Linked DNA regions of Arabidopsis thaliana. The protein of the gene in region 4 interacts with the protein of the main gene of each other region in a pairwise test. Each region holds a gene or a part of one and is shown on either strand. Other genes may lie near its edges.

Region 1 (4,921 bases), on a different chromosome or scaffold from region 4:
TTTTTACATGAAGCCTGCTATATATATACTTTATCAAATATTTCAGAGCTCAAGCAGAGAGCTTCCTTCTCTGGCAAGCACGAAAAGGCCACCATCTCCTCTAGAAATCCTGAGATCCTTGTCGAGATAAGTGGTCAAGAGCCAAGAGCTGCCTCGGTTTCCTGGAAACGGAAGCTTGAGAGGTGGCTGACCAGAGAGTGCCCGTGAAATGTTTGCTGCCACATCTTGTAAGGGGTTCAAAGACTGCTTTAACAACGAAAGGCTAATCTGCTGCCCAAAGACGCCCACACTCTCTGGGAGATCTACACTTGATTTGATCACCGGGGGTTTTAGCGTGCCTTCTTTGAAAGAAACCTGACATTTACCAAACATTAAGACAACCAGATGGTGATACCAATACAAATTCAATCTACAAAGAAACCTTTTTAACATAGCTTTGTTTTAATGGTAAGGTTTGATTGACTGGAATGTAATCAAAAGTACAAACTGTTAATGCTTCAGTGACCTTAATACTCAAACTGGTGTTTGTAAGTTTAGTTACCTCAATTCTTGAAGGGCTTCGAACTTCAAATGAAGCAGTAGCACTGAAGGAGAAGTCTGCAAAAGGGCTGGAGAGTGTAGTGGAGTTGTCGATAATGAGATTGTTTGTGTCTATTGACTGACTTATGCTTTTAACTTTCAACAAAGGTGTCGAACCCGCAGCTAGTAGAGGAATCAACTCAGAGAAAGCAGTGTACCTATTTCATAACCCAAGAAAATACACAAAATTGGAACAACAGTAACAATTCCTGGATTATTATCATTCTTCATCAAAGATTTCACAATGTCTCATTCTCAATTCACAGTGTTGAAATTCTCAGCGACAACTAAAGGTTCCTACATCATCGAAACAAGATCATTTAACTTACAGCAAAACCCAGTTGCCGTCGAGAAGTTCTGGATTCTCTAACGGAGCCGGAGTAGGATTCAGAGCTTCCAGTTGATTCACAAGCTCCAAAACCTCCGCTCGGACTTCTGACCCAGCTTTGAAACCTAATTCAGTTCCGTACACCGAATCCGCCAAACACCTTTTCAGCTCCCAAGTCGGGTCAGACACCGCACTTCCATTTCCAGCGTCGGCTTCAGTTTCTCCTCCAATTTCTCCTCCCCACTCGTCTTCGTTCCTTGGAGGATCCGATTCCATAAACCGGGTCCCGGATTCCTCAAGTTCGGGTCCGGATTTCTCGCCCCATTCGTCCGTAATCACATTCACGGTCACATTATCTGGCTGAGAGTCGGGCTCATTTGCATCTCCAGGTTTCTCACCCCATTCATCTGTAACTGCAGACGCATCTAGGTCGGATTCCGATTCAGATTCCGAGGGCAGAGAAGATCGGATTTTAGAAAACCGGAGTGGCTTGGGACGATAACCAAAAGAGAAAGAGAGAGAGTTAAGTTTTAGGGAGATAGAAGGAGAGAAGGTCTTGCTTGGATTTATGGAGGAAACATAGAGGAGTGAAGAAGGACGAGCGACGGTGAAGAGCGTAGCCATGGCCGATCTTTGTGTTCGAGCTTGGTGAGAAAATTTCGGAAAACAAGATTACTCAAGTCTTAGAAAATCACACGAAATTTAGATGACCCCAGAAAAAACGCAATTTTAAAACTTCAAAAAAAAAAAAACTTTAAACTAATGGGCCTGACCCAGGCCCATTATAACGATTTGTATTCGTCTCTTTCCCTTATCCCCGTAGTGATACTTTGTCTGAGTGAGTGAGTTTGAAATCAATCATCAATGGCTGCTTTTGCTTCTGGTTTGGCTATAATCTTCAACTCTCCTTCACTAAACCCTGTCACAACTCAAGCGACCTTCCTTTCTTCGAATCGGATTCGTTCCTCTCCTCGCGTTTTCAGTGGATTTCACAGCCTCCGACGTCGCGGCTTCCGGCGATTCTCTCAAAATGTTATCCCCGACCGGTTTAATAGCTTCTCATGTAATTGCTTATCCGCCGTATCCACCAGCACTATCGATTACGAGGTGAATTTTCGTATTCACGTCTATACTAGTGTTGCTGGTCTATCAGTCTGAGTGATAAAATGGAGAATTGCGTATAAATGGCTGGTTCCAAGGTCTATGTATATATACCATGATCATGTAGTTGTTGTACATTAGTTAGATAAAAATTGAATCGTTTTCATATATGATGCAGTTCACGGATGGTGGCAAAGAGGTGGAATTAAGATTGAGGTTAAAGACAGGTGAGATACTTTCTCCAAAGGATATATCTGTTGACGCAGATGGAACATCGTTAGCCGTTAAAGAAAAGCGGAATGGATTGCTGATTACACTTCTAGAGACTAACCATCTCTTTGAGAAGATTATGCCCTCTGAAACAATATGGTTAGCTACGTGTAAATCTTGCATTATATGACTTGTTTTTGTGATGTGTGACATTTCCTTGAGGGCTGAAGTTTTGGTTTTGATCCAGAACAGGTACATAGACGAAGATCAGTTGGTTGTGAATATGAAGAAGGTGGATGGGGAATTGAAGTGGCCTGATATTGTCGAGTCCTGGGAGTCTTTGACTGCAGGAATGATGCAACTTCTTAAAGGTGCATCAATCTACATTGTTGGAGATTCAACTGAAATCAACCAAAAAGTGTCTCGAGAGCTAGCCGTTGGCCTTGGGTATGAATTCAGATTCTTCTCAGTGGGTGAATTCAGTTCCCGCCTTTCGTTCATGAGCTCAGTATGAATAGTATTTCAGAGTCTTATACACTTGTTATGATCTGCAGGTACAGTCCTTTAGATTCAAAGGAATTGCTGGAAAGCTTTTCCAAGCAAACAATCGATTCTTGTAAGTTTGCTTTTGGATCATGGTCATCATCTAACAAGAATCTTCCTCACTTCTCAGGACCCTTTTGTTTGTCTTCATTTTAGGGATTCTTGCAGAAGGGCCGGATTCTGTAGCTGAAGCAGAGAGTTCGGTATTGGAAAGCTTGAGCAGGTAAAAAGTCATGTCTAGTGTTCAATCTCTTTCCAGTTACCAAGATTAGCCACTGATCTCCATGTCTTTGCAGCCATGTGCGTACTGTTGTCTCAACTTTGGGAGGTAAACATGGAGCTGCGGGGAGAGCTGATCAGTGGAGACATCTTTACTCCGGATTTACCGTTTGGGTATCACAGACTGAAGCCACAGGTCAATTTCTCTCTACATCCACTTAAAATGAACCCTTCTGAACAGAAAACGAGAATCACTGCTTATACATTCAAGATTGGTTCTGAATGTAGATGAAGAGTCAGCTAAAGAAGAAGCGAGGAGAAGTAAGCAAGAGAGGGAGATTGGGTATTCAAACGCCGACGTTGTGGTGAAGCTCCAAGGTTGGGACCCGACGCATGCAAAGAGCGTGGCTCAGGCTTCCTTGAGTGCACTTAAGCAACTGATCATCTCAGACAAGGGACTTCCAGGTAATAAATAGAAGAAACCCATTTGTAAATTGATGCTTTAATCTGATAAATGTTTTGGAGATTAAATGCGTCTTTTATGATATTGAAGGTAAGAAGAGTTTGTACATACGCTTGGGATGCCGTGGCGATTGGCCCAATATAAAACCGCCGGGATGGGATCCATCGTCTGACACTGGACCTCATCCACAGTTTACATAAACAGTGTCAAGACATGCTTTTTGCTCTCTCCTACAAACGAATGCTCTTGAAGAAATTTTCTGTTATTGTTGTCATTGTCAATGGTATTTAATTGTTAAAGAAGTTGTATATTGGATAATTTGAGAATTGACTACCAATCTGAGTTTTAAATGGCACAAAGCGCACCATGGCTCAGAGAGTCCTTTAGTGCGCTATGTGCCATGGCTCACCAAAGCGCGCGCTTTTTAGATCTGTGGTGTTCTATTAACAGATTCTCTGCATATGGTTTTAGCCTTCAAGCTTATATCGTCTATGGTGTTCTATTTAGAAAAATTAGGGATTTTACATCTTCTAACTGGTTAAAATGTCGTGGGTTAAGAGGTAAGGGTCAAATCCGTTTTAGTTTAAGATAAACCTAGGATTGATTTGGTTTGATAAGCTAATTATAACTCATGGTTAAACTTTCTAGTCGTGGATTAGGTATTGACCAGCTAAATTGAATCATGTATTAACCAGCTAGGTTTAGAAAATGGTTTATCCTATTCCTCCTAGTCATTTCTTCGTGCAAACCCTAAAATCACAGAATTCTGTTGTTGGTTTCGAAGAGTTTTCGCCTGAACACAAGAGGCGATCGCTTTGCCACCTTGTGCATCGGCCAAGGCTCACGTATGGCGTGCGCATTATAGATGTCGCCTCGCCTCCACGTCTTGTTGCCCTATTCTTAGAGCATCGGTGCGCTATGCGCCATGGCACGCCATTAGCGCGCTTTTTAAAACTAAGGCTGTTGAATAACTTCCAGCTGATGAATTAAACCTCACAAAGAACCAAGGCTGTTGATCAATAAAAGACTCTTTGATTCCAAGTAAAGAAAAACAGGATAATGGAGACTAGTTTCACCAAAAGAGTAAATATAACAGTACTACTACTAAGTTTCTAAAGATCAAGTCACGTTTGTCGTAATCCAAACTATTAAGGTTTCACGACAGCAAAGAGAAGTCGACACATTAATCTAACCCAAACTCCTTTGAAGGCCTGTTATTGTAGATATCAGCAGATCATCATCTCCTACAATCATACTCAGCGTCTTATAAAATTCCTTTCTCGACACCTTCTTCTCCTGCAAGAGCACACCGATTATGTTAATACAATATGATAACCTTGACTATTGGTAAAAGACATGGTTTATATTATTTACCCTGAGTTCCTGGTAACCAGCAATTATCAAATCCATGTCTTTACGAGCAATTTTGCTCGAGATTGCTTTGAACAGCAGAGGGAAAGGCATTATAGGAGATCTGG
Region 2 (3,611 bases), on a different chromosome or scaffold from region 4:
TACAAAGCCCATCGATGAGTGTGTTGTATGTAACAGAGTTTCTTGAAACTCCATGTACTTCCATCTCATCAAATATCTCCTCGGCTTCTCTAGTCTTGTTGGCTTTGCAAAACCCATCAATCAAAGTGTTGTAAGTTATCACACTCCGTGCACAACCACTCAATTCCATTTGTTTAAGCATGTTCAGAGCTTCATCTAGCTTCCCTTTGGAGCATAAGCTATCAATCAGCATATTGTAAGTGAACTCGTCAGGCTCACATCCTTTGCTCCTCATCTCTTCAAACAACTCCATCGCAACCCGGTGATTCCTAGTCAAACACAAACCTTGGATCAAAGAGTTAAATGTACAAACGTCAGGAAGGATCCCTTTGCTGGTGAGAACACGGGCAAGCTCCGTAGCTTCCTCGACCTGATTCTCTTTACATAACGTGCTGATCAAAGTGTTGTAAGTAACCGTGTTCGGAGAACAATCTCTAGTAATCATCTGATCAAGAACCTCCACTGCTTCTTTCACCTCTCCAAGCTTACACAAACCCGAAATCACCGAGTTATAAGTATACACATCTGGATCATACCCTTCTTGAAGCATCACATCCATAATCTCAATAGCATGCTTCACATGCCCTGCTTTACACAAACCATTAACTAACGTATTAAACGTGTACTGATCCGGAAAAAACCCGTCTTGATTAGACATCTCCTGAATGAAATTGAGAGCGTCTTCGACTCTCCCTTCCTTACAAAAACCATGAACAATAACATTAACACTCACATTAGACCATGAACAACCAAACTCAACCATCTGTTCCCTAATCCTCAAAGCTCCATCCAAGTCCCCTTCTTCAATATAGCCTTGCATAACCGTTGTAAATGTCTTCTCATCAGGAACAAGACCGTAACTAGGCATATCCTCCAACATCAAAATCGCAGGTCTAAGCTGATGAGCTCTACACAAAGCTTTGATCAAAACATTAAACGTAGATACATCTGGTTTAATCCCCCAGACACTCATCTTCGCGTGAGAAATCTCAACGAGTTTCAGACTATTCCCATCAACGAGAAGATTCAACATCCGGTTATAAAAATGGGTATCGGGTTTTAACCCGAATTCGTCAATCATCCAATCAACAACACTTAAAATCTCATCTTGCAATTCGAACTGAGCATAACTCTCGATTAATATCAAGAAAGTAGAAGTACCCATTTCGCATCTGGAACTCTTCATGTCTTCAAGAATTTTCTTCATGTCATCAAACGAACCAGACCGACCTAGCCGAAGGAGAATCTCTTCGTATAGAGCAGGTTCAGGTGAGAAATTTGGCTTCTTAGAGGCCAGATTAAAGAGACGAAGTGCGGCGGAATCATCAGGCTGGCTACGGAGTGAGTCGAGAAGCTTGACATCGGTAGAGGAGAGAGCTGCTGAGTGAGGAGAAGCGAAGGAGATGGTAGAAGAAGGAGGAGTTAGATTGAGAGAGAAGGAATGATGAGTTAGGGTTACAGCTTGAGAGATAGAAAATGGATAGAATTTGAGACATGAAGAGAAAGCCATAGTTTTCAGTTTCCAGAGAAGATGATGAGAGTGAAGCAACAAAATGGGTTTAAGGATTACAATTTTTTGCTAACCGACCGGTTCGTTCGTGAACCGGACAATTATTAAAAATTCGATTTAGGTTTTTTAGCAGTAAGCCAAAAAGTGAGACGCTTTGGAAAATGGAAAGTGATTCAATGCAAAAGAGCAAAAAGTAGTAAGTGATTCATAAACCCTAATTCTGATTGTGGACGAAACCTAATTAGAATCATTTTTGAAATGGCGACACAGTCAGTTAACGCAGTGATCGTTGATCTTCCCGGAGATGTAAACGACGACGGCGATAATTCCGATTGTTTCATCTTCTCCACTCCTCCTCTCTCTGCACGTGGTTCCACAAAGCGTGATGCTATTTCCGTTGAGAATTACGATCGTGATCGGAAACTTCAACGTCTCTGGGTCTACCCTCCTCACAAAACCGTAATCAAGTCAGAATCTCCAATTTACATAGATCTTGATCTTTACGATGATGAAGACGATGATATCAGAATCCTCTGTTTCGCACCACCAATCCACAGAGAAAAGGGTCAGTCTTCTTCGTCAAAGACGGCGACTTTCGACTGTGAGATATGTGTTGATTCAAAATCCATAATTGAGTCGTTTCGTATCGGTGGATGCTCTCACTTCTACTGCAACGACTGTGTTTCGAAATATATAGCAGCTAAATTACAAGACAACATTCTCTCAATCGAATGTCCTGTCTCTGGTTGTTCTGGTCGGCTCGAGCCAGATCAGTGTCGTCAGATTTTGCCTAAAGAGGTTTTTGATCGGTGGGGTGATGCTTTGTGTGAAGCAGTAGTGATGCGTTCGAAGAAATTCTACTGTCCTTACAAGGATTGCTCTGCTTTGGTTTTCTTAGAAGAGAGTGAAGTAAAGATGAAAGATTCGGAGTGTCCTCATTGTCATAGAATGGTGTGTGTGGAGTGTGGGACTCAGTGGCATCCGGAGATGACTTGCGAGGAGTTTCAGAAGCTAGCGGCGAACGAGAGAGGAAGAGATGATATTTTGCTTGCGACGATGGCAAAGCAAAAGAAATGGAAAAGATGTCCTTCTTGCAAATTCTATATTGAGAAATCTCAGGGTTGCTTATACATGAAGTGCAGGTATATATATGTATCTTCTTCTTCTTAACAAGAGTGTTTTTAAAAAACATTGTTTTTATATATCTTTTTAAACACATTTTGGCAGGTGTGGGTTGGCTTTTTGCTACAACTGTGGAACTCCATCGAGGGACCATACTCATTATTGTTATAATTGTAAGCGTTGATATTTAGCATCAGCATTTCTTATTATATAGGTCTCTAATCTAAAGCTAAGCTTAAGCTTTAAGGATATGGATTTCTATTTGGTCTTGATGCTTTGTACCTATTTTCGCTATTTAGGTAAAAAGGTAATATCAATCATATGGACAATAATTTATCGTGTTAACAATGTAAGATCCTAGAAACAAAAATTCCTTTTCAACTTCTAGCACCTTAACTCTGTTTTACCGTATAGAATGCAACCTTTGTCTTATTTCTTTACATAGGTCTTGTTCCTCTCTTTGACCATCCAAACTTCATGGACTATATCAGGCTTTAAACTTCTTCTTAGGTCTAATCTCTTTTGTTTCCTCTTGTAACATCTCTTAGGATTTTCTCGTTTGAGATCATCATACCTACCATATCCACATAGGATTCTACATTCTCTGATACCTCTAATTCTTACTATCATCAAAAATATGCATTGAAGAAGGGTGAGAAAGGGTTCATTATTAAATAAAAACCTTTATACATTAATCTACATAGATATGTACCTTTGGTCTTCATAGCTAATACCAGATTCCGTTACATTTGCCAACGAATCTACTTAATTCCAGCCACAGAGAGAACAATTCCAGTCACTCTAAAGTGACTTTGCTACTACGTTGTCTACATATTCTCTGAAAACATGATATTATCTCAAGTTACATTAACCAATATGAATGGAAAAAATGACTGTTAATGATAACTTATTATTTTAAACAGAGCCGATCCTTTTAAAT
Region 3 (4,564 bases), on a different chromosome or scaffold from region 4:
AACTCTAACTGTATATTCGTAACGTAGCCAACCCCTTAACTTTTGATCTAAATCTAACTGATCACAAAACCCTTGCTTCACTTCCTACTACGTAGAGGCAATGAAATCATCTAATAGCAAACTCCTTACATTGGAATCTAAGATTCTGATTGAAGCAAAGCTTTAACAAGGACTGTAGGACATATGTACAATAATAAACTTAGCATTCCCGTCTTACCAACTACACTTGGCAGAGGTCTTACTAAAAAATATTATCTTATCTAGAGGGGAATTTATTTAGATATTAAAGTTTGGGATCATACCACACATGTAATAAAACGTGACCTCACTGTCAAAACCCCATATATGACGAAGCCATGATTGCTGGTAACTATCTATGAAATAGACCATGTAGGCCAATGCAGCAATCACCTGTGAGCAGATGAAGTCATTTAAAAGGCATGAGTTAGATATATTACCAAATGAAAGAAAAACTACTGTAAGAAACAGAAGCACACATGAAAAATGAATACTTACAAGCTGAACAGCAAGAAATATGGATAAAATGTCTCGAGTAACAAAGAAGCGAAACTTCAATGTCCGCCATTTCCTATCTCCAGCACTGTGAACTCTCAGATAATATGGAGCCTTGCAAGTTGTGCAGTGCGCAAACGCGAAACCTTCCTGCAATAAAACGAGCTTACCAGGCGTCAACATCTGCTATTCATTATTTTACCATGATACTACCAAAAACACCACCACTCTAATCATCACTCATGAAACATATATCAACTCTGAAAATTTCACATCCAAAACCATCATTCTTTAGTTGTTTAGCCTTCGAATGGTTTTCGTATTCAACAAAAATAGAAATTTACAACAAAAGGGAAGTTCCTATTCAATAACACTTACACAGGTTGTCATATTTGATTGAAAATGGAAGGGATAACAACAAATAGTCAAAGAGTGAAAGCGAGCATTCATAGCTTTCAAGTTTCAAGTAACACTAACGACAGCCAAGCATGGACCCAAGTTGAGCTAAAGCGTATGAAAAAATGGAACCTTTATAGCTCTCCAATGATCCAAGCAATCACGATGTACATACTTTGATGTTCCTTTGCATTTGCATGGGGCAATGAAATCCCTACCTGACCATGATCAATAAATGAGCTTGAATCAACCAAGTAAGTTAGAACAAAAGCTCTCTCACTATATCACGGTTTTAAATCACTAGTCTTTTATAAAAAAAGAGTTTATCACTAACACTAATCTAAATCACATCAGAACCATTAACGATCTAGCCAATTCGAATTTCATAATCCGAATTCTTGAACTGAAGTTAGACATATCTATGAGCACATGAAAATGTTCAACAATCACTAGCAAGAAGCAAAGAATCTATTTAAGGAAGAAGCGAATCTAAATGGTTTTAGAAGACATTACCATCAGTTTCAAGGCAGATTCGGCACTGAATTTGTTCACCAGGTCCTCCAGCTTCGAGATCGATCTCGGAAGGCTCGACCATCGGCGACGGTGGAACCAACGGCGACAATTCCAGTTCGTCCGCCATTCAATTTCGAAATCTGGGTAAAACCCACGAATACCCAGAAAGAGAGAATAGAAAAGATCGAGACTTCGTCGAGCTATGATCCGATTTCGTTAGTTTAGCATTTATCGGTAGGTTTTTGTTGCCGTTAAACAAGTATGTGAATTGACCCGTCACTCACCGGTTCTTCGCCGGCACACAAAAACCAGAAATGTTGTATCTTTTTCCTTTTCTGTATTTTGACGTTTTTGCCCCTCTACTAATTCATGTTAAAAAAAAAAATTATGTGTTGCAAAAAAAAAAGCATGTCTGAGCCCGGGTTCGAACCGGGGACCTCTAGTGTGTGAGACTAGCGTGATAACCGACTACACCACCCAGACGTTTTTGTTAGACTCTTTACTTTATTATAAATATACTTAAATAATCTAGTGTTCTCTGGTGCACCCTATTTTAGAGGAGTTACTCTATTCAGAGTGTTTTTTTTGGTAGCCACTGCCGTCAACAATGGCGAAAGAAGGAGAAGAACGTAAGAAGGAGAAGAAAGAGAAGAAGGAGAGGAAGGAGAGGAAGCGTCGCGAAGCTGAAGAACTCGCTGTAAGAGAGAAGAAAATCTCAAAAAAACATAAATCGAAATCCAAAGAGGAAGAGAAACCAGAGAAATCAAAGAAGAAATCGAAGAAATACGAAGAAGTAGAAGAAGAGGAGAAATCTCCATCTCCATCTCCATCTCCTAAGAAATCGAAGGAGAGTAAGAAGAAACATAAGAGATCATCAGATGAATCCGAAGAGATCGTCGATTCAAAGCCTGTTACGGTCCCGATTGTTACCATTGAGTCTGATTCTGATTTCGAATTCGATAAGGAAGATATTAAGAATCTACTTGAATCTTACTCTAAAGAGGAGCTTATTAACCTAATTTACAAAACTGCTGAGAAAGGTTCTAAATTGATCTCAGCAGTGTTTGAATCAGCGGATAGAGATAGTTCTCAACGGAACATATTCGTGCGTGGTCTTGGATGGGATACAACGCATGAGAATCTCAAGGCGGCTTTTGAGGTTTATGGGGAGATAACGGAATGTTCTGTGGTTATGGATAAAGATACAGGAAGAGCTAAAGGTTTTGGCTTTGTGTTGTTTAAGACGCGTAAAGGAGCGAGAGCGGCGTTGAAGAATCCGGAGAAGAGAATGTATAATCGAACTGTTAGTTGTTTACCAGCTAGGCCGTTTAATTCTGGAAAGCCACGAGAACAACAACAACCGGTTGAGTCTGTGAAGATTGATTTGAGTCATACGGGTAATCAGAGTGAAATGGCTTTGCCTGGGATTGATTTGGGTCATGGACTTGATAAGGGACATCAGCAGCAGCAGAATATGTCAATGTATGCTGGACAGAACATGCCCTTTTATGGACATTCTCAGCCTCCTCCTGGTTTTAATCCTATGTATGGTGCAATGATGGGTAATCCGATGGTTGCTGGTTTACAGAATTATCGTATGTTTGGCTCGGGTATGATGAATCAAGGACCTATGATGCCACCGAATCATATGGGAATGGTGGGACAATATGTTGGTGATGGTAATGTTAACGGTGTTGGTGCGGGTGCTGGTGCTGGTGCTGGTTTTGATGGTGAACGTGCTTGGTATCTGAGATAAGAGAACCCAAGTGGTATGACCATGTTCTCTGATATTTCAAGTTATAGATTAGGCTAATGATTAGTCCGGTATCTTCGACTCCAACTTGATATTTTGGGAATTGCAGGAGTTTTTTTTGCGGATCTTTATTTTCTATGCCTGATGTTTCAAACCTACTTTTTTAGTTTCATTATTTATAGTCTCTTTTAACGAGGTATCTACCCCTATATGAGCCATTTTGAGGGAGATGTGTGCTCAAAGGATGAATTTTCTGTTGCTCTCTGGAAGTCTGTCATTGGTGTTCTGCTCTGTTCTCATAAACCAGTGAAATGTGGTCATTTTGTCTAGAAGATTTAGTTACTAGGATCAATATTGGTTTAAAGTAGTTTGCTATCTCTTTGTTTTCCCTTTTGGAGTCCCCCATTATGGTCTTCTGTCTTCTCCTTACCCATCAAACTCACGTCTGGTTTTCTTCTGTGGCATGGCGTATGTTTTTCTCTTTTGTTTTTCCTTGTTTTTGGTTTTATGTTTTCCCGCATTTTCATTGAATATCTGTTCGCTATAGCTGGAGAAGAAGCTTATGACATTTATAGTTTTGTCCACTATATGTCATAACTGCCAAAAGTCTGTATCTTCCAGCTGCAGTTGTCTTGAGACCCGTTTGTAGGATCAGACATAATGGTTTTACATTCTTGTTTTAAATCTGTCTTTTTGAGTACTGGAAAAAGTTTTGGGACTCTTTCAAAAGCTTCAAGTTGATTTTCTCTGGAATAAACAACCTGAGTTTTCTTTCCTTCAAGCATTGTTTTCTTCCCCATAGGTTTTTATAAGCTTCTCAATCTCTTTCATCACATTCCTCTTTTATGGTAGTGTCGCCCCTTTCTCTTTTGTATTTAAGAGTCCATTTTGATATCAGTTGCCAAGTTTTCTTGCCTAAGTTCAAGATTGTTTTTGGTCATCGGTACTTGGACCCAATTTGTTTTTCACCTTACATAGCTTTGTTCTGGATTTACCTTTTTTTTACCTGCTCGTTATTCATATTCTATATAACTCTGGTTATGGTAGCAAAGCATACTTGTTTTTTTTTTTTTTTTCTTTGGATTTTCACAATGACCTCACAGTGACCGATGATGCGAATGCTTGTTTTCTTAAGAGGATCAATCTTGTTTTCAGTTTTTCGATTTCTTAAGAGGATCAATCTTGTTTCTCGGTTTTTGGTCTTCTCTGCAGCTATCCATCCATCCATATGAATCAACTCGTATTAATCTATAGTATGCTTCAGCTAAATCAACTTTGGTTTGGTTTTGGTCATTTGATTTCGTTGTTTTGTGATCATGATCTTATGAGGGCTTTGTTTTTCTTTCCAATGGGGAAACTCTGAAAATCTTAAGAACAAAAACAAAACCC
Region 4 (5,332 bases):
CAAATTTAGTTCACTTTATCATTAAACCAACCTACTAAAAAATGGATTAGTGTGGATAAGATAACATTATCTGTTAAAAATAGATGAAATTTATTGACATTAAAAATTCAACAGAGAAACAGATCTGATGGTTTTAGAATCTTACTTAATGCTTGTTCGGCTGAGAATCTTCTAGAAGCATCTTTGCATATCAATTTCCTTAGGAAATCTTTAGCCATAGATGAAACCCCCCGGAATATCTTCGTCGGAAAACGGAGATTTCCTCTGAGTACCGCTTCGAATATCTCTTCAGCTGTCTCGCCGTAAAACGGTGGAGTTCCAGCGAGCATCGTGTACAAAACGACGCCGGCGCTCCATAGATCGACCTTCTCTCCGTAAGAATATCCCATTAAAACCTCCGGCGCCACGTAATACGGCGTTCCGACGACTCCTTCGGTGGTCTCTCCCTCACCTAACCAAATCCCTGAACCGAAATCGCAGATCTTAACCGTATCGTTTCGTAGATCTACCAGAATGTTCTCCGGTTTAATATCCCTGTGAACGACGCCGTATCGGTGACAATGCGAAAGCGCCTGGAGAATCTGTTTAGCGAACGACGCCGTCTGAGGCTCAAAGAAGGTTCCAGAAGAGACGAGACGGTCGTAGATCGAAACAGAGGGATGGACGAGCTCCATGAAGATGGAGAGAGTCGAATCAGTGTCGATGAGATCATGGATTTGAACGATGTTAGGGTGATAGGACAAGAGAGCCATGAGCTTAGGCTCGTTGTCGAGACAGGCACGGTCAAGGTCGTCGGAGAGAGAGGCTTTGTCGATGGTTTTGCAAGCGAAGAAATCACCGGTGGCCGGAGCGTAGACGCGAGAGACGGTGCCGAAACGGCCACGGCCGATCTCCTCGCAGATCTGGTATTTGTTGGTGTTGTTGTTTCCGAGTGTTTGGCTGCAAGTCATAATATCACTTTCTTAATATTTTTTGTTTTGTGTTGGTTCTTGTGTGAGTTAAGAAGACCTCTTGAGTCGGCTCTACCTTTTTTTATAGCCAAAACTCTTGAGAATATTCCTTTTGATGCCTACATGTTTTTTTTTTCTACTAGTATTTTCCTTTTCCTTAACGTTATATCTTTTTTGTTTTTATTTTGTTTTAAATAGGATTTTAGATATTATTTCCCAATCCAAATCTATTTTTTTGTTTTGTTAGAAGTTTACTTGGAGAAGGTTTGTACTTTGTAATGTCTTTTCTTATCTTATTATATACAATTTTACTTTCTAACAGTTCTTTATTATCTATTTGGTTTGTTCTTTGAAATGATAATTACTTGGTGGTAGTCTAAAATTCACATTTAAGTTTATTATCAAATGTACTACACAATTACAATCCTCTCTAAATTACAGAAAAACATTCTCAACAGATCCAGATTTGTTAAGATAAAATATTGGATCTACAATTTAATATGTTTCCAGAAAAAGTTCATAAATTGATAATGCACAATCTAGTGAAAAAGAGGTAGGAAATCCAACCCCAATTTATGCAAAAACATTTCCAAATTGAATGTGAGTACTAAACGATTTCTTGGACGAGATTGAAATCTGAAAAAGAGATAAGAAAAGTGTGGCATGTTTGGATTGGAATTGGGAGATAATCCCTGCAAGTAAGTAAACCAGAGATCCCACGAAAACAAACTAATAAAGACACTGGATTGGGCCGATAAATCAGTTGGGCTGAAGAAAGCAGGCCGTCTTTATTATTACCTAATTCGTTCACGATGGAGGTCGAACCGAGAATATCCCCCTCCGGAGGCGAGCGCCTTATCCATTGGGCCACGCGAACTATTGGTCAGGCCTCAGTTTTTAGCCTTAACAAACTATTGAGTATTGAATGATTAGCTTCCAAACATCAATCACCAACCTTCTAGTTTCCTTTTAACCCTACTAGAGCTCTGCTCTGCCATGGCTCCCGCACTATCTACTTCTTGCTCCTCCGTCATGGCTTTCTCAACATCAAACGCGCTTCGTTACCATCATCCTCAAATTTCTCTCAGGAACTCTCTTCGCGCTCCCAAATCGCCTTCTTTTGTCAGGTACTTTCTCTTGATGCTGCTTTTTTGTTTTCCACTTCTCTTCGGTGGCTTTAAAGTCGAAGAATCATCGTTTGATAGTTCTTTTTGTTGTGTAAACTTACGGATTTTGTGGGTAACCGTTATCTTCTTCCTTCATAAACATTGTCAATTGAATTCCGACGGCTTAATTCGTGGATGAGCTTCTTACTGTTGCCTATAAAGTTTACAACTTTCAATTGCACTTAAGAGAGTTCCATTGTTGTGCTTATCAGACCATTTGGTACACGTTATCATTGTAATGAGGATGATTGAAATTCTCAGGCTTCCCCTCGGAAAGGTGTTACAGAGCAGGATTGTGATACGTGCTGCTTCGTCTGCGGCTGGTAATCCACAGTCTGATGCTGACTTTAATCCGTATGAGGTAATTGATCGTTAGAGCCCTATAAAGGACTTGTTTTGTTGGTCGTTGTGTATTTCTCATGACATGAGTGTGTGTACCTTCTCAGGTTCTTGGTGTTAACCCTATAGAGGGATTTGACAAGATCAAGCAAACTTATGGAAGGAAACTTAAAGATGCTCAGAGGAGCGGTGATGAAGCCACTGCTGCTCTAGTAAGTTACGTTACCTCTCTCTTTCTTTGGAGTCCTGTAAGTGATTTTTTTTTTTTTTTTTTCTTGTTAACACGTCTCTGTTTTACCTTTTGATAGCTTGAGAAGGCATATGATAAGCTCATGTATGCCCAGTTGATGAATAGGAAAAAGGGTGTGACTTTTGGTTCGTTTAAGGTGTGTATCGTATCCTCTTTCTTGTCATATGCTGTCTTGAACTCTATGACCTTTCTTTCTCAATCCTTGGTGAATTTTTCATAATTCAGGTTTCCAAGGACATTAAATATGCTGATAAGCAGCCCATTATACCATGGGGTCCAAGGTAGAGATTCTTTATGAGTCTACTCGCATTATTAATTTTCATCATTCAAAAGCAGGATCTGTTACTACTCATGATTTACCCTTGTTGTTACAGGTTTTCCAGGTCCTCCAAGAATGATATGTTGATCAACCTAGCAATATCAGTTGTGTTTGTAAGTAGTTTTTAAGAAATATGAGGTTTGCTATTATTAGAAATGTCAGTTTTTTTTTTTTTTTTATCTGTACCCTTTATGAATCAAGACATCATGCATAAATGACTGAATTCTTGCAGAAAAAGTGACTTGTTTCTTACACATTTATGCATATATGACATTTCAAGTACAATCAGATATGAGCCTCTCCCACTCTTTCTGTTTCTTTCTTTTGCAGAGTGCATGGATTGCGATAAAACGTAATGTTGAATACAAACCGCTGCAGTTCATGTCTTTTGTATTTGTTTACAGAATTTTTGAGAAATTAAAATCCTTTGAAGCACCTTCATCTCCAATATATAACGTGAGTTTTGAATTTTTTTGAAGCCTTATGTTTTGATGTCCGTACACTTAGTGGCTCTTTTAATCCTGATGTGCACTGATGTTTGACACTGGCTGCAGGAGGAAGGCGAAGAAAGTGGACGGGGATTGAGAATGGGAAAGAGGCTTCTTCGTTCTCTTTCCTTAGTTTTTGGCTCTATACTCTTAGCATCTTTGGTATGCATATCCATCAAGACTCCGTTATTTTAAAGAATCCGTTTTATGTTGCACCATCTAGTATTAGGTTTATTCAAAGAGAGCGGCATATGTGATATAAATGTGTCCAAGCGTTATTTTATGGATGCTCCTGATTGTTTGATCTAGTTATTAGATATGTCAGGAGTTCTTTTAATTGTGTATACCTATGTTTAACTCTCAGTGAACAATGTTTTGCAGGCATACACTGGGTTCTTAAATGGCATCGAGTACATGGGCTACTCCATACCCATGGTTCTTTACAACAACCAGGTTGTTTTTTTTGCATAACTTACATCTCTCTTCGCTTGAAACCTTCTCTTAACTAGTCCCACACAAAATGATCATTTTGATCAAAAAATGGTTTAGGATATTTAGGTCAATTGTTGGCTAAGCCTCAATGAACAGCACTAGTTGATTAGGTTGTAGATGATTGTGCTGTTTGTTTTGATTTGTGACATCTATAGGTATAAGAAGTACTTGTACTGAAATAAAAACTAAATGCACAAGTATTAGGTATGAATTGGGAACACATGAGTTGGATATGTGTTGCCACAATTGCTGAATTAAGATATAGCAAAGAGAAGGGTCTGGTCTGTAAATTAAATAGTTCCATAAGTGATATCAGTCAACCAGGCTTTTGATGATGTAACAAGAACTGACTGAACAGTGCTAATTCGGTTGCAGGAACTTATAGTGACGGCGTCATCGGCTTTCATGCTCTATGTTATAGCGTCGTTTTACAGATAATGCGAGAGTCCACAGGAGAATTGGTCAGTTAGAAGCTTTTGGAGAAGTTATGCTGTATTATAGGATGTTGCTGGGAGATGAAAAGTTTATTTTCTACAGAGAGATGGGGTTATCTTTATAACCTTTCTTTTGTGTGGAAAATCAAGTAAATTTTGCAAGAGAGAAATCCCTTAGAATCTAAGTCTTGTCTATTTACGTTTAATGCTGAGGATCGCATGTGGAAGGTTTTTTAATTTTTGTATTGGAGCAATAATATGCGTGAAGTGAAAAATCTTGAGATACCTTGAAAGTATCAGTCGTACACACAATTGAAGCGTTACGAAGATGAGAAACGTTATCAACCTTGTTAAAACACAACTGTGGAGAGTTTAGAATTGATGATAGATGAAAAGTTATAGGGATCAAAATAGAGAGCTAATATCTTTGGTGTGGTGGCGAGAAAAATCATCTGAAAAGATGTTTCATAGATTTGAGGTACGAATCTGATTGGTTGGGTTAGATAAAGGTCAGGTCAGGTGGCTAAGACTGAATTCGACTGTCATCAAAAAGGAGTGTCCACTACGGTCAGCAAAAGAAAAAGGACTATGTAGGTGAAGTGAATCCGATGGGAAATAAAACAAATGTGATAGAGAGAGAACAGAGACGCCAATTATGAGTAGAGCTGACACGTTGGAGCTGACTCTGTCTCTATCTCTATATCTCTGTCTTTCTCTATTTATAGATGGAGTACGTACAGCTGCTCCACACTATATATACAGTACATACTTTGAAAAGTATATTTGAGTTACGTCTTCAACTTCAAAGCGTTTCTTACTACTAAAGTGGTACGTTTCCCTAATTCGCTCTCATTTTCCATCTTCTTCTTCTCCTTCTTTTGAAAACACACACAC

Evidence for each region.
Region 1: the proteins of CJD1 (region 4) and SKL2 interact in a two-hybrid assay, tested with the Arabidopsis thaliana proteins (one study listed by BioGRID).
Region 2: the proteins of CJD1 (region 4) and AT3G53690 interact in a two-hybrid assay, tested with the Arabidopsis thaliana proteins (one study listed by BioGRID).
Region 3: the proteins of CJD1 (region 4) and AT2G22100 interact in a two-hybrid assay, tested with the Arabidopsis thaliana proteins (one study listed by BioGRID).

Annotation. Positions count from the first base shown.
Region 1 is NC_003071.7:14,912,267-14,917,187, forward strand, and holds SKL2 (shikimate kinase like 2), read left to right. Parts: upstream 1-1,670; 5' UTR 1,671-1,771; coding exon 1,772-2,014; intron 2,015-2,186; coding exon 2,187-2,377; intron 2,378-2,470; coding exon 2,471-2,665; intron 2,666-2,772; coding exon 2,773-2,834; intron 2,835-2,917; coding exon 2,918-2,984; intron 2,985-3,057; coding exon 3,058-3,176; intron 3,177-3,268; coding exon 3,269-3,445; intron 3,446-3,533; coding exon 3,534-3,643; 3' UTR 3,644-4,402; downstream 4,403-4,921. Other genes in the region: AT2G35490 (Plastid-lipid associated protein PAP / fibrillin family protein), read right to left, coding at 43-354, 542-737, 909-1,531; SRO1 (uncharacterized protein), read right to left, coding at 4,632-4,739, 4,818-4,921.
Region 2 is NC_003074.8:19,898,241-19,901,851, reverse strand, and holds AT3G53690 (RING/U-box superfamily protein), read left to right. Parts: upstream 1-1,616; 5' UTR 1,617-1,807; coding exon 1,808-2,691; intron 2,692-2,776; coding exon 2,777-2,855; 3' UTR 2,856-3,064; downstream 3,065-3,611. Other genes in the region: MEE40 (Pentatricopeptide repeat (PPR) superfamily protein), read right to left, coding at 1-1,549.
Region 3 is NC_003071.7:9,391,011-9,395,574, reverse strand, and holds AT2G22100 (RNA-binding (RRM/RBD/RNP motifs) family protein), read left to right. Parts: upstream 1-1,980; 5' UTR 1,981-2,029; coding exon 2,030-3,178; 3' UTR 3,179-4,021; downstream 4,022-4,564. Other genes in the region: AT2G22120 (RING/FYVE/PHD zinc finger superfamily protein), read right to left, coding at 303-411, 517-663, 1,042-1,127, 1,423-1,549. UniProt on the Arabidopsis thaliana protein: Acts as a component of a complex regulating the turnover of mRNAs in the nucleus. Binds with high affinity to RNA molecules that contain U-rich sequences in 3'-UTRs. May function in complex with UBP1 and contribute to the stabilization of mRNAs in the nucleus.
Region 4 is NC_003070.9:2,747,824-2,753,155, reverse strand, and holds CJD1 (Chloroplast J-like domain 1), read left to right. Parts: upstream 1-1,535; 5' UTR 1,536-1,946; coding exon 1,947-2,077; intron 2,078-2,377; coding exon 2,378-2,477; intron 2,478-2,562; coding exon 2,563-2,667; intron 2,668-2,763; coding exon 2,764-2,841; intron 2,842-2,930; coding exon 2,931-2,986; intron 2,987-3,079; coding exon 3,080-3,137; intron 3,138-3,354; coding exon 3,355-3,480; intron 3,481-3,578; coding exon 3,579-3,674; intron 3,675-3,893; coding exon 3,894-3,965; intron 3,966-4,379; coding exon 4,380-4,442; 3' UTR 4,443-4,795; downstream 4,796-5,332. Other genes in the region: PPCK1 (phosphoenolpyruvate carboxylase kinase 1), read right to left, coding at 146-950; AT1G08645 (uncharacterized protein), read left to right, coding at 561-905, 1,149-1,214, 1,326-1,343. UniProt on the Arabidopsis thaliana protein: Probably involved in the regulation of the fatty acid metabolic process in chloroplasts, especially chloroplastic galactolipids monogalactosyldiacylglycerol (MGDG) and digalactosyldiacylglycerol (DGDG).